Linked DNA regions of Mus musculus: regions 1 and 3 are each reported to be linked to region 2. The links are microRNA targets in miRTarBase. Many come from high-throughput screens and were not tested one by one. Region 2 holds a microRNA gene; each other region holds the end of a gene's coding sequence.

Evidence for each region. Region 2 holds the annotated microRNA mmu-miR-876-5p (UGGAUUUCUCUGUGAAUCACUA, at 2,753-2,774, opposite strand). A microRNA usually pairs through its seed, bases 2 to 8, with sites in the 3' UTR of a target mRNA and lowers its output. Matches are read on the target gene's strand: a 7mer-m8 pairs with bases 2 to 8, a 7mer-A1 pairs with bases 2 to 7 and ends in A, and an 8mer does both.
Region 1: miRTarBase lists Smco1 as a target of mmu-miR-876-5p. Seed matches in the 3' UTR shown: 8mer at 651-658.
Region 3: the mRNA of Smtnl2 is a reported target of mmu-miR-876-5p. Seed matches in the 3' UTR shown: 7mer-m8 at 1,125-1,131.

What each region holds. Positions count from the first base shown.
Region 1 is chr16:32,273,636-32,277,883 of GRCm38, forward strand. It overlaps Smco1 (single-pass membrane protein with coiled-coil domains 1), which reads left to right. Exons shown (of 3, transcript NM_183283.3): 3 at 78-1,146. The coding sequence ends at 522. Rnf168 (ring finger protein 168) reads left to right here and starts at 3,826. Exons shown (of 6, transcript NM_027355.2): 1 at 3,826-4,248.
Region 2 is chr4:36,642,670-36,646,917 of GRCm38, forward strand. It overlaps Mir876 (microRNA 876), which reads right to left and starts at 2,784; the gene lies at 2,704-2,784. The region is part of intron 2 of Lingo2 (leucine rich repeat and Ig domain containing 2); the gene reads right to left.
Region 3 is chr11:72,387,658-72,391,905 of GRCm38, reverse strand. Smtnl2 (smoothelin-like 2) reads left to right here. Exons shown (of 8, transcript NM_177776.3): 8 at 493-1,792. The coding sequence ends at 619. It overlaps Mir6338 (microRNA 6338), which reads right to left and starts at 3,150; the gene lies at 3,042-3,150.

The DNA.
Region 1 (4,248 bases), not on the chromosome of region 2:
TGCACCAACATAATCAAATGCAGCTTTTGTTTGTGCATGAAATGTTCCATTTAAGGAGCTTTGCCCGTTTTTCATAGGTTCACCTCAATGGAACTGAATATTGTATACAGCTATGTCATCGAGGTCCTTATTTGCTTGCACACTCGAATGCTTCAGAAACTCCCAGACCTGGTGAGAAGTCTCCCGACCTTAGCCTCTGTCCTTAGAAGAAAAGCCAAGAACAAGCATGTTAGGCTTGTGTGGGAGTCTGTCCTGCAGGAGTACGGGCTGCAGGAGAGGGATGTCTCAGCACTCTGTACCTTCTTCATTGTACATGGCAACAAAGGAGAGCACTATGCTGCCAACGTAAGACGGATGTACATCAAAGATGTTTCCTTCATGATCACCAACATGGTAAAGAACCAGGCTCTACAGGATGGATTGCTTAGAGCTGTTCAGATCATCGAGAAGGGGAAACAAGCACAGGACCCTGAAAACTCAAGGGCACCCCTAAAAGAGTTGATGCCCCCAGTTAAAGACTAACCTGTTACCTTTGACCCAGCAGTTCCACTCTCGGTCATTTGTATTTTTTTTCCCCCAAGACAGGGTTTCTCTGTACGGCCCTGGCTGTCCTGGAACTCACTCTGTAGACCAGGCTGGCCTTGAACTCAGAAATCCACCTGCCTCTGCCTCCCAAGTGCTGGGATTAAAGGCGTGCGCCACCACTGCCCGGCGGTCATTTGTATTTTAAAAACCAAAAAAATGCATAATTTAATTTTTATAGGCTTATTTTATAGCAAAAGTGGAAGGAACATTAAAGAAATTATGACAAATGGATACAATGTACATTGTGTGTGTAGCCATATTTGAAAAAGAAGCAAATATTTTATAATGAAGTAGAATTTGGGGTGTAGCCCAGAGTACATTTTTTTTTTTTTTTTTTGGTTTTTCGAGACAGGGTTTCTCTGTGTAGTCCTGGCTGTCCTGGAACTCACTCTGTAGACCAGGCTGGCCTCGAACTCAGAAATCAGCCTGCCTCTGCCTCCCGAGTGCTGGGATTAAAGGCGTGCGCCACCACCACCCAGCTACATTTTTTTTTTGTATGTATGAGGCCCTGAGTTCAATCCCTGATACCACCAAATACATAATAAAGAAATTTATATGGAATCATTACTCAGATTTGGTGTTTTATTTATAATGTTATATACAAAAAGGGGCAAAAACAATTTTATACACACACACACACACACACACACACAATTTTTTGTTCACGACATAGTTTCTCTGTGTCTGTAGCCTCAGCTGGCTTTAAACCTGGATATTTGCCTGCCTCTGTTTCCCAAGTGCTGGATAGCCATGGCTGCCCAGCATACCTATAATATCTTCAAAGGATACTGTGTATAAGTTTAGATATATCCACTTCTGCAGTGATACTTAAGTGATGTGGGGTTTTTTTGGGGGGGGTGGGGGTAGAGGACTAAGAATCTAAGAGTCAAAGGGAAAGAAATTGTTTTCACTGGCTAGTAGAACTTCTCTAGACAGGACATGACATCATTGTCTCGAATCAGAGAAGCTGTGATTGGCCACAGCACAGGGTCATGAGATCAGTCCTACTGCCATTTCCTCGTTGATGGAAAAGGGAAATGCTACTTTCCCCTGAGTCTCCAACCCCAGACCTAGGCTGTACATACTCTTGCTCCAGCCACACCTAATCTTCAGGGACGCTAGACTATACAGGAGGTGGGACGCTAGACTGTACAGGAGGTGGGACGCTAGACTGTACAGGAGGTGGGACGCTAGACTGTACAGGAGGTGGGATGCTAGACTGTACAGGAGGTGGGACGCTAGACTGTACAGGAGGTGGGACGCTAGACTGTACAGGAGGTGGGACGCTAGACTGTACAGGAGGTGGGCAGTTGATTGGGGTTCAGAATGCAGTGGTGCAGCTTTGGGGGTCATCCCCACACGGAGGTGGGGATTTTAGATGGTTTGCCTTCAAGTCATCCATGCCTCTGTAAGTAACCCACACCCATGCTCCTGTAAGACCAATGAACTCATTGGTTCACCACGCTGGACTTGGTTGGAATCTCTTCTTTGGTCTGTCTTTGCCCTGTCTAGGCGAAACAGACATTTCTTTATATTTCCCTAGGAAGAGTCAGACTGCTTGCTCAATTTGAACATTTTGAATTTTGAATGCCTTTTGAAGGGCAATTAATCAATTGAAAGCATGAAATAATAGGGGTGGAGAGATGACTCAGTGGCTGAGAGCATGTATAGTTCTTCCAGAGGACCAGAGTTCCACTCCCAGCACCTATGTCAGTGTCTCAGCCACAGCTCCAGGACAGTCTTGCTACTTTCTGCCAAGCTTGTGGGCCTTAAGTCGTTAGAAAGGAAGCTGAAGACCTCAGTGGACTGTGACACAGAAAGAAGTATAAATGCCAAGTTGTCACAGATCTGAGGAACAGAAACCATAACCAAGGCAACTCTTTCTTTTTTTTCTCTCTCTTTTTTTGGTTTGGTTTTTCTGAGACAGGGTTTCTCTGTATAGCCCTGGCTGTCCTGGATCTCACTTTGTAGACCAGGCTGGGATTGAACTCAGAAATCCACCTGCCTCTGCCTCCCGAGTGCTGGGATTAAAGGCGTGTGCCACCACGCCTGGCCACAAGGCAACTCTTATGACAATATTTAATCAGGGCTGGCTTACAAATTGAGAGGTTCAATCCATTATCAAGGTGCCAGAGCATGGCAACATCCAGGCAGGCATGGTGCAGGAGGAGCTGAGAGTTCTACATTTTCATCTGAAGGCTGCTAGCAGAATACTGCTTCCAGGCAGCTAGGATGAGGGTCTTAAAGCCCACACCCATAGTGACTCACCTACTCCAACTGGGCCACACCTTCTAATAGTCCCATTCCCTGGGCCAAGGATATGCAAACCATCACAGACTCCAACTCCAGGTCCTCCTGTTTCTGCCTCTGCCTTTGCTACCTAAATGCCTCAATTACAAGACACACGTGTCCATGCCTAGTTCAGAGGTCCTTCCTTCCTTCCTTCCTTCCTTTTTGAAACAGAGTCTCTTACTAAACTCACTGTATAGACCAGGCTGATCTCTACCTCACAGAGACCCTCCTGCCTCTGCCTGCAATGTTTTGGGAACCAGCTGACCAATTGAGGAAGGGTCTCATATAGCCCAGGTTGACCTGGAACCAGTTATGTAGCCAAGGCTAGTTTATAATAATCCTTTTGTGACTACTTCCCAAATGCTGGGATTGATTATAGAAATGGGTCTCTTGTTGAGTTCTTCAGACTCCACATACCAAACCCAATAGGCATTTACTCATGCTAAAGTCTGGGGTAGAGGGCCCAAGCCAAGCACCCCCAAAACAAGAGGGAAAGCAATAACAGCCAAATCTCTACATTGCTGTTTTAGCCAGTACCATAAGGATATCACCCCCACCTTATTTAACCTTTACAAGGATTCTTTGAAACCACAGGTGTAACTCTTTGTTGCTGCTCTCCTTGAGCGTCACTTGTCTATAAGGCCAATATCTGCTGCTCATTCTATAAAATGCTAGTGTTGCAAATAAATGCTAAGAAAAATCTTTAAGGTAAATTTGTTGTAATTTCTTCTTTTAGCACTAAGAACTTTAGAAAGCTTTGTTAGGAGAAGGGTAGCCTAAAGAATACTGAAAGAATAATTACAAAAATTCCTGTTCGGATCTTGGTTTAGAGAGTTACTTGAGTAAGCAAGATTCTGCAGCCTACAGTAGCCGAGCGACCAAAAGCGGGAGGAGTTGCTACTAGCAGGCTAGGCGGGAACGCAGACGCAGCTCCCGGAAGTCCCGCCCGACTGAGCGGTTCCTTGGGGGAAGACGTGCCGTTTTGGCGGGGAATTGTGACGTCCGTGGAGCCCGGGTACCTGCTCCGGCCGCGGCCAGTAGACCGATTGGCAGGACAGCGGGTGCGAGCGGCTGGGTCTCGGGACCCGGGGGGTACCGCGAGGTGTTCCAGAAGCTGGAGCGTGGGCACTGGAGGGCTGCCTCCACCGCAACGGCGAGACGGAAGTCCCGCGGCGGCCCGAGCCCGGATTCCGGGCGGTACCGGGTGCTCTGGGAGCGGCGGTGCCCGGGCTTCCGGCTCTGGCAAGCCCGGCCGCCTCGCGCGTAGAGGCGGGTCCTCACCGCGTAAGAAGGGGAGCTGGATGAGCGCTTGTGTGGCGCGGGGAGACAGAACCACTCTCCGCCCCGAGGCCGCCGACTCCCGGAGGAACG
Region 2 (4,248 bases):
GGTCCTGTGAAGGTTCAATGCCCCAGAATAGGGGGATTCATGTGCAAGGGAGGTGGGAGTAGGTGAGTGGGGGAACACCCTCACAGAAGCAGGGGGCGTGGGAGGGGGTAGGGAGTTTCGGGGGGTGGGAACAGGGGAAAGGGATAACATTTGAAATGCAAATAAAGTAAATATCCAATAAAAATATTTTAAAAAGAGAAGGGTTTAAGCCTTCAGATTTGAACTCCAGTTCCTTAGTCTACTGGCATCTCCCATTATGTTGTAGACTTGTGTTACTTCCATGATTGAGAAAGTCTTCAAGATAAATCTCTCTCAATATATAAATACTGCTAGTTTCTCTGAATAAAGTTGGCCTAGTAAACTCCTTTCAAAATATATATTTTCACATAGATTTTAGAAAATTTACGAGTGTTTAGGGCAAGTCCAATTTAGAGTTTATGTTCTATCCAAACTACACTTAAAATTAACTGCTTTTCTGTAACTCTGCTTATATGTACTTAAAGTAGGAATAAAAGCATCCAGTAGTATATTAATATAAATACAACTTGATGTTAGACTTATGAAAAGAGTTTTGGATATATGGCTATTTGATAAATTTGGTGACCCTGTTGTTAGGTCTAGTAACTAAAAATCTCTTAGAAAATTCTGTCGCTTACTTCAATATTTACATAGCAACAATACTAAATATTGGCATTAAAACCAAGCTTTAGCTCAGAGGAAATATGATAAGCATCTCTTTAAAAAACAGTAACAAATCACAAAGCTATAGAACAGCTTTATGCCCAAAACCTGTTATTCTGGCTCTATTTCATTTATTCCCTTCTCTAAGAGGAGTGGAATTTTCAATCATAACATGGTTTTACTGCTATGAAGAACATACTTAGAAATATAGAGTATTAAGAAAAAGAAATATGCAGTTGTAATTGAAAATAATGACAATTATAACTGATGCTGAAGTAAAGCCTAAGAAATTAGGATAACACATTCAAACCCTATTTTAAAATTGGAGATAATTTTGTGGGGATTCTCTCCAGCTGCATCATATGTGATTTATTTAAATTACAGAGGCTCAAATAAAGTATCATTATTTATGTAACATATATTTTTATTTTTAAGATTTATTTTTTAATGTATAATGGAAAAACTTTTTGATTTGTTAGGACATTGTAATGATACCTAAACTTGTAAACAAGATGTATTAGCTCTAATATAGCAAGACAAAAATAACTTCAGAAGAGAAATAATAGATTGATTCAATGATGATTCATAAGTAATTTCAGAATCCTGTTCATTATCATTTAGGAATGTAATGGTGTCACAAGAAATCGGAGATAAATACAATCTATCACTACGAAAATCTTGTTGCCATATGACTGAGCTTAGATTACACCTAAGTTCTAGCCTTCAAATAGAAGAGCTCATATACCAAAACTAAACAAAATTTTTGGAGCTTATACCAGCGATTGAAAAACTAATGGTGAAAGGTTGGGTTTCTGTTTCTAGAATCAGCACATTTAACAACACTAATGAGGGTAATAACCATGAACTTCCTGTTGTTTCCCAGCAACTGGTAGGTAACATGATAGCAACTATACTCTTTAGCCTTGTGAAACTTACTCATTTTAAAGATTATTCTAACACTATGAGTATGTATATGAGTGCATCTGTGTGTGGGAACATGCACATTAGTGTAAGGTCCAACATAGGCCAATAGAGAGTGATAGAGAGTGTCAGATCTCTTCAGCTGAACTTATTGGTTTCTGTGATGCATATGATGCAGGTGTGCAGCAAATTGTACCCTGGTTCTCTTGATGCACAATCCAAGTTCTCAAACATTGACGATGGCTTTAGACTCTTACTAAATTTCTTTGCCATTAAAAGATGACAGAAGCTAAATTTGTAGAGAATTAATGATAAATAATGGCAAATTAAGTATACAATTTTGTATATTTTGGCTAATTCTGTGTCTGTATCATTTGAATAGTATTAAAATTTAGTTACTTTTAAAATTATTTTAAAATAATGATGTTTATAAATTCCCTGATTAATTTCTATTTGAATTGCATAATCAGTAAAGTCACTGGATAAGCTCTCTGTAAAAATGTTTCCTCTTTATTAATATATATATATATATATATATATATATATTTGTCCAAGTAATAGTAACAGAATTAAATTTCAAAATGTTTCACTTATAATTAATGGGTGCAGATGTCAATTCAGTGCTTTTGTTTTGGATCTACTGCATTTTTAAAAATAGGGCATACTGCCAATTGTTGGGGCAGGTGTTGCTAAAAAAAACAAGAACAGACTGTGCATAAATGTAAAATACACACACACACACAAACACACACACACATATATATGTGTGTGTGTATATATATATATATATACATATATATATATATATATATATATATATATATATATATATATGAGATATGAGATGGCCTGGCAATATGTAATAGGCAGTCCTCAAATGCTGCCATCCTCCTGCCTCAGCTTCTCAGGTGTTATATTACAAGCAAGTTACAATATATGTAGCTTAATTTTCCAGTGCTTGACATATCTTTGCTTCTTGTTCTCTAATTAACAAAGTAACTGTTTATGAAAGGTTTAAATCTTATAGCTTAAGGATTTGTTCTCAATGGCCCAATGAAGGATCCTAGGTTTCAAAATACAGATCAACTGTAGGAGCACCTGTGAAGCACTATGAATTACTTTGTAAACCACTACCACACTAGATTTGATATAGTGATTCACAGAGAAATCCATAGCACGTGACAGTTTATGTAATGCTTGTACACATGAACATAAAAATTATATGCTACCATGCCCAGAGTTTGAAAAATTATTCAAGACATCTTTTTATCGTTCATATGGCATTAAAATATAATTTAATTTAATTTTAACAACATTTGAGCAAGAGAATAAACATTCATGAATCAACAGGTTTTATATATATAGTATTATAATATATACATTTTTAATTGGTAAAATAATAAGAAACACTGAAAAAATCTGAAAAATACATAAAACCAAATTATACTTTCCGTATTATGTATCAAGGTAGATCAATTAGAGGAATGAGCAAGAACAACCAAGAGATGAAAGAGAAGTAAAATGCCCACTATGCTCATAGAATTGAGATATGGATATTAATATAACCTGTGGGAGGAGAGAAGTAAAATAAGGAATGACATTTCATACGTGCATCTCACATTACAACATACACATGATGTGGTTGTTTTGCTCTAAAAATAGTCTCAGTTAGCCTACATGTATTTTGCATAAGTTCTTAGATTTTATCTGATTTTTTTTCTATCTTAAGTTTGAGTTCTGCATGTGATTGGCTGAAACTCTCTGAGGCTACTTAAATATATGTTAGTTTCCTCACTAGGTTCAGCTTTGAGAAACAAAACAAAACAAAACACCAAAGTAACTGAAAAAAATCTCTAATGGGCACTGCTTTAATAAATTCACAGGAATGAAACATCTTTCGTTTTTCTCCTTTGTTATGTTTGCTTCAATGGTAACATTTATCTAAAGATTTAAAAGAAAACTAGAATTTTAATTTATGATCATTAAAAAGAAAATAATTTTTAAATTTTAATGGACTAGGATTATATCTCTCAGGCCATCTATGGATTTGAGAATTTTGACTTTTTGTATGTATACCATGAATGTCAATAATAATTAACATACAATATTTTTCAGAAATTTGCAAATCTAACATCTTAGTGTGTTCAAAACTGTCACTACATATCACTGTGCATTCCCAAGTAAAACAGGGAAGTAAGGCCAGACTGGCTGGCTAAGCAAGGAAAAACTTTAAGTGGAAAATAAATTGTAAAATTATTTACACATTCATATATACTTACCGTATGGCTGGTATATGACGTACATAATGCTTGCCAGGTATAAGGAAGTAAATGCAAACCCAATACATACCCTAGCTTCAAGAAACAGATAAAACAAAATAAATAAAACCAACAAGAACAATTGTGTTCCTTAAAAAGGGTCCACATAGATTGCTTTAGAGTCCACATTATCCAGTCATAGCAGGAGGTTTCTGTGAGAAATTACTTAGTTGAAAAATTGAAGGTACAATACAATTTAGCAATGAGGATAGGATTAGAACATTTGAAGCAGACGGGGCACATTAAAAACAGTAGAAAGAAGAAATTAAAATGTCATCTGTTCTCTGCTACACTACTGCTGAAAGTAGAAAATTACACAAAATTTAGA
Region 3 (4,248 bases), not on the chromosome of region 2:
GCTGGGCTGTGGTGGCACATGCCTTTAATCCCAGCACTGGGAGGCAGAGGCTGTTCATCTCTGTGAGTTTGAAGCTGGCTGGTCTACAGAGCAAGTACCAGGACAGACAAGGCTTCACACAGAGAACAAACAATAAAATAAAATAAAAACCAAGCATACAGTGAGAGGAAGCAGATGGGTGAAGTTATCATTTTGCCTCAATTTTACATTTGCTTTCACAGTTCTTGCCAATTGTCACGAGATATTGACTTGTGTCATCTCTTTACTTCCGTGTGAACTGCTTACGTGGTTTGTGTCTGTGGGAGTCTGGGCAACGCCCCACGGACTCAGCAGCTCCCAGGGTTCTCTTGGAGACCTTGAATTCCCTTCTGGTGTGCACTTGAGCACCACAGACTCAAGGCGAATTGAGTTTGGGGAGAGTGCTAATAGAAGCTCAGTTGTGGCACTGGTTATTCACGAGGACCATGTGTTGATGGGGCTTCTGTGTTTCAGGAATCTGGCCAACTGTGAGCGCCTCATTGAAGTGGAGGATATGATGGTGATGGGCCGCAAGCCGGACCCCATGTGTGTCTTCACCTATGTGCAGTCGCTCTACAACCACCTTCGTCGCTTTGAGTAAAGCCGGCGGCCCGGAGTGGCCAGGAAGAGACTCTGAGGTCCCTCACGTTCCCCCCATGGCAGCATGATCCACACGAGGGAAGCTGCCTCTCTGGTGTGAGCTGCTATTCGCTCTCTGGCGTGTGACCATGTGCCCCTCACACTCGTTACTGATTAAAAGTATTGATGAGGCTAAGCTGAGCCCCACAGTCCCTCCACAGGCTGGAAGGAGAAGGAAAAACTCCAGAGTCAAAAGAAATTGGTGCTAAGTTATGATCTTCCTACAGGGAGCGCTCATGGTTTCCCTCTGGTGAATTTGATATATTGGCTTGACAGGGTTCCACTGATTATCAAGCTTTCTTTCTTTTTTCCTATCAAAGTACCCAGAGGTTGTTTTTGTTTTTTTAACTTCCTCACACTCTCTCTTTTTTTTTTTGTTTTGTTTTTGGTTTTTCGAGACAGGGTTTCTCTTTATAGCCCTGGCTGTCCTGGAACTCACTTTGTAGACCAGGCTGGCCTTGAACTCAGAAATCCGCCTGCTTCTGCCTCCCAAGTGCTGGGATTAAAGGCGTGCGCCACCACCACCCCTCTGGGCCATTGCCAAGAAACAGTCTCTAGTTCTTGGGAAGAAACAGCTTAGTCAGCCCCAGGTCCTATCTTCCTATCATCTCTTCTCTGTGGGGAGGTGGCAGGATTTCTACCTAGTCCTGGACGGGCTTCTGGTACTCACAGGAGACCCCACAAGTGTCCAGCTAAGGAATGGTTACCTGAGCAGTAACTGAGCAGGAGCAAGGATAGGTCCTTAGGGATGAGAGAGTTCCCATTTGCTCCAGGTATTTATAGAAAAGGATTGCATCTGTACCATTGACCTGTTTGTACACATGTGACCTGTTTGTAAGATGTGGTGGCACTCTTCGCTTGGGTTTGTTATTTCTGTGTGGGAAATGGGAGGAGGGTTGGGCAATAAGAGACGGCATAGATTTAAACAGAGATCTACTGAAATCATACCTTTATTGTTTATGTATTTAAAACCACTTGCCTGGGAGGCTGAAAGCGGCATTTGCTGTCTACCAATGTGCTTGTCCCTCAGCCATCTCTATGTTGTTGAAGGATTGTGAACAGAAAATTTACCCCCTGCCCATCTATCCCTTAGATATTGGCAAATATATTATGATAAAAAGTGGCCCAAAGTTGATGACTTTGAGTGATCATTGTTTTTGGGGTGTGTGTGTGCACGCGAGTGCGTGTTTCTTTCATTTATTTGTATACAATGCAAGGGGTTGGGAATAGAACCCATGTTCTCTAATATGCAAGCAAGCTCTCACCACTGAGGCCCACCTCCTGCCCCTGCCCCTGGGGTGGTCTCTTTCATGGAAGCCCATCAAGGAGTGCTGGTTTAATTTCACAGCTGTTTGGCAGTGGAGTTTGAATAGAAAAACCATGAGAGTCCACAAAGCTGCAGCTCTTCGCTTATTCCTCCCCAAGACTGAAGATTCATTTTAGAATTGAGTTGGATGTTAGCCAGAGACTTTTAAAACCTCCCTTGAAGGACCTAATATGGGCACTTTATTTCATGTAACCCCCTCTGAGTGGGGTCAGCCCTGTGTCCGAGGTGTTGGGAGCTTAGGACAGAATGTCCTCAGGGATCCTGGGCTCTATGACAGAGCTTGCAGGTGGTTTGAGCATTTTCAGTGGCTCTGTTTGCTCAGGCTGTGGCCTTGGTCCATCTTTTGGGTTTTCCCACAGTGGGAGCCGTTCCCTTCCTGGCTCTCTCAACATTTGTAGGCTTGGAGAGCCCTATTCTTAGCAGAGACACATACTGGGGCTTAGGGTTTCAAACTTAAAGCCAATAAGGGCACACTAGGGCTCTATAAACAGCGTGCCTATATGTCACTGAGTAGTTGCACATGGCAAAGCATGCTCTCCTGAGTGGCAGACATGGATTTCTGCCTCTGCACATAAAATATAGCAGGTCTTACTGGATGAGGAATTGCTTCTCTTAAACTGTAGGAACGGTGTCCCTTGTGTCCCGCCTTCAGAACATTACAGACTAGATAGGTTTAGGGTTGGCTCTGTGATGTTCTTGTTTACAATTGTGTGTATGCAAGTGTGTGTTTGATGTAGAATTAAAAGTAATGTTTTGGCCCAGGTGTGGTGGTACTCATTTGTAATTCAGCAGTCAGGAGATGGAGAAAGAAGATTTTAGTTTCCATCCACCTTGAGCTACAGCACAAGAACATGTCTCAAAGAAGGGAAGAGGTATTTTAAAGTTGATTACATCCAAGACCAAGTGTGAGGTGTCAGGGGATGGAGGGAAATGGAAAGTCTTTCAACCTCAAGACTTTTTGAGATTTTATTTCTATAGAATATGTTTCTATATTGCATTTTGAATACATACATATATATGTATGCATATATATTCTACTTTCTTTTCTCCCCCCTCCCCCTGCATCATACATTCTCCCTTCTACTTTCATTTAACATGTACACATATGGTTTTATGTGACTATATAAAACTCAGTAAGCACAAATGAGAGAAACCAGGATACTGGAGCCAGGCATCTTCCGACCGGATTATACGAGAGCTCTCCATTCGTGGAGTTTGAATCCTGGTTGCTCTTTTACTGTGGTGGTGCAAGGTTTTGCATCCCGTTTCCTTTCCTGAGTGATTTCCTGGAGCTGTTCATAAGAATCTTCTGGGGTTTTCCAGATAGAGCCCCTCACCTGGATTTCGTTAGAGCTTATTAAATCTCATCAAATAGCCTTATGCGTTTCCCTGATGGGATCATTTCTCCAGAGCCAAGATGGGGTTTCATTTTTCTGTCAGCTGCTGGTGTTTTTCCATGCAAGTGGGAGCCTATAAGCACTTTCTGAATATGATATAGCATGCGCTGGTCAGAGGAGACCATGCAGGCCAGGTGTGTGTGGGGAACAGTTTGTTAAAGCCAATGCGTTTCACAAATGTGTTCCATGATGAAAGGTTCTCAGCTTTCCCATTGGCGGTGGTCAGACTCCGTAACTGGAGGAGACCGGAGTGAGGGAACACTTTATTTCTGCCATTATGATCTGTTGATGTGACTGCAAGCAACTTGAGAGAAGGGTGAAAATGCTGACTTGGCACACCTGTTCATGGCGCTGCTCCTGCAGATAGGTTTCTCCAGTTGGTGACAGTGGGGCTTCATCCTGGTGACATCATACCCACTCGAGTGGCCTGCTTGGTTCCCACCTTTTCTCTCCTAGCTCTACACTCATATCTTCGAGATTGACTTCTGCCCGGTGATGGATGTCTCTGATGTGGTCCTTTCTGATCTTTCTCATTTTTAATGTTTGGTTCGGACTTGCCTTTGGAGTCTTTGATCGCTTATCTCTTGCTATTTGGACACCAAATAGCCCTTGGCCTTCTTTGAAAGAGCATGCTAAAAATCCGAAGGCTGAGGCTGAAGCGATGGCTCAGCGGTTGGGAGCACTGACTGCTCTTATAGAGGACCTGCGTTCAGTTCTCAGCACCCACATGGCAACTAACCATGTTCTGTAACTCCAAGATCTGACACCCTTACACAGACATGAAGATAAAACACTAACGCACGTAAAATAAATTATATTTTATAAAAATTCCTAAGGCTTGCCTTTTTTCTGGAACGTTCCAGTGGG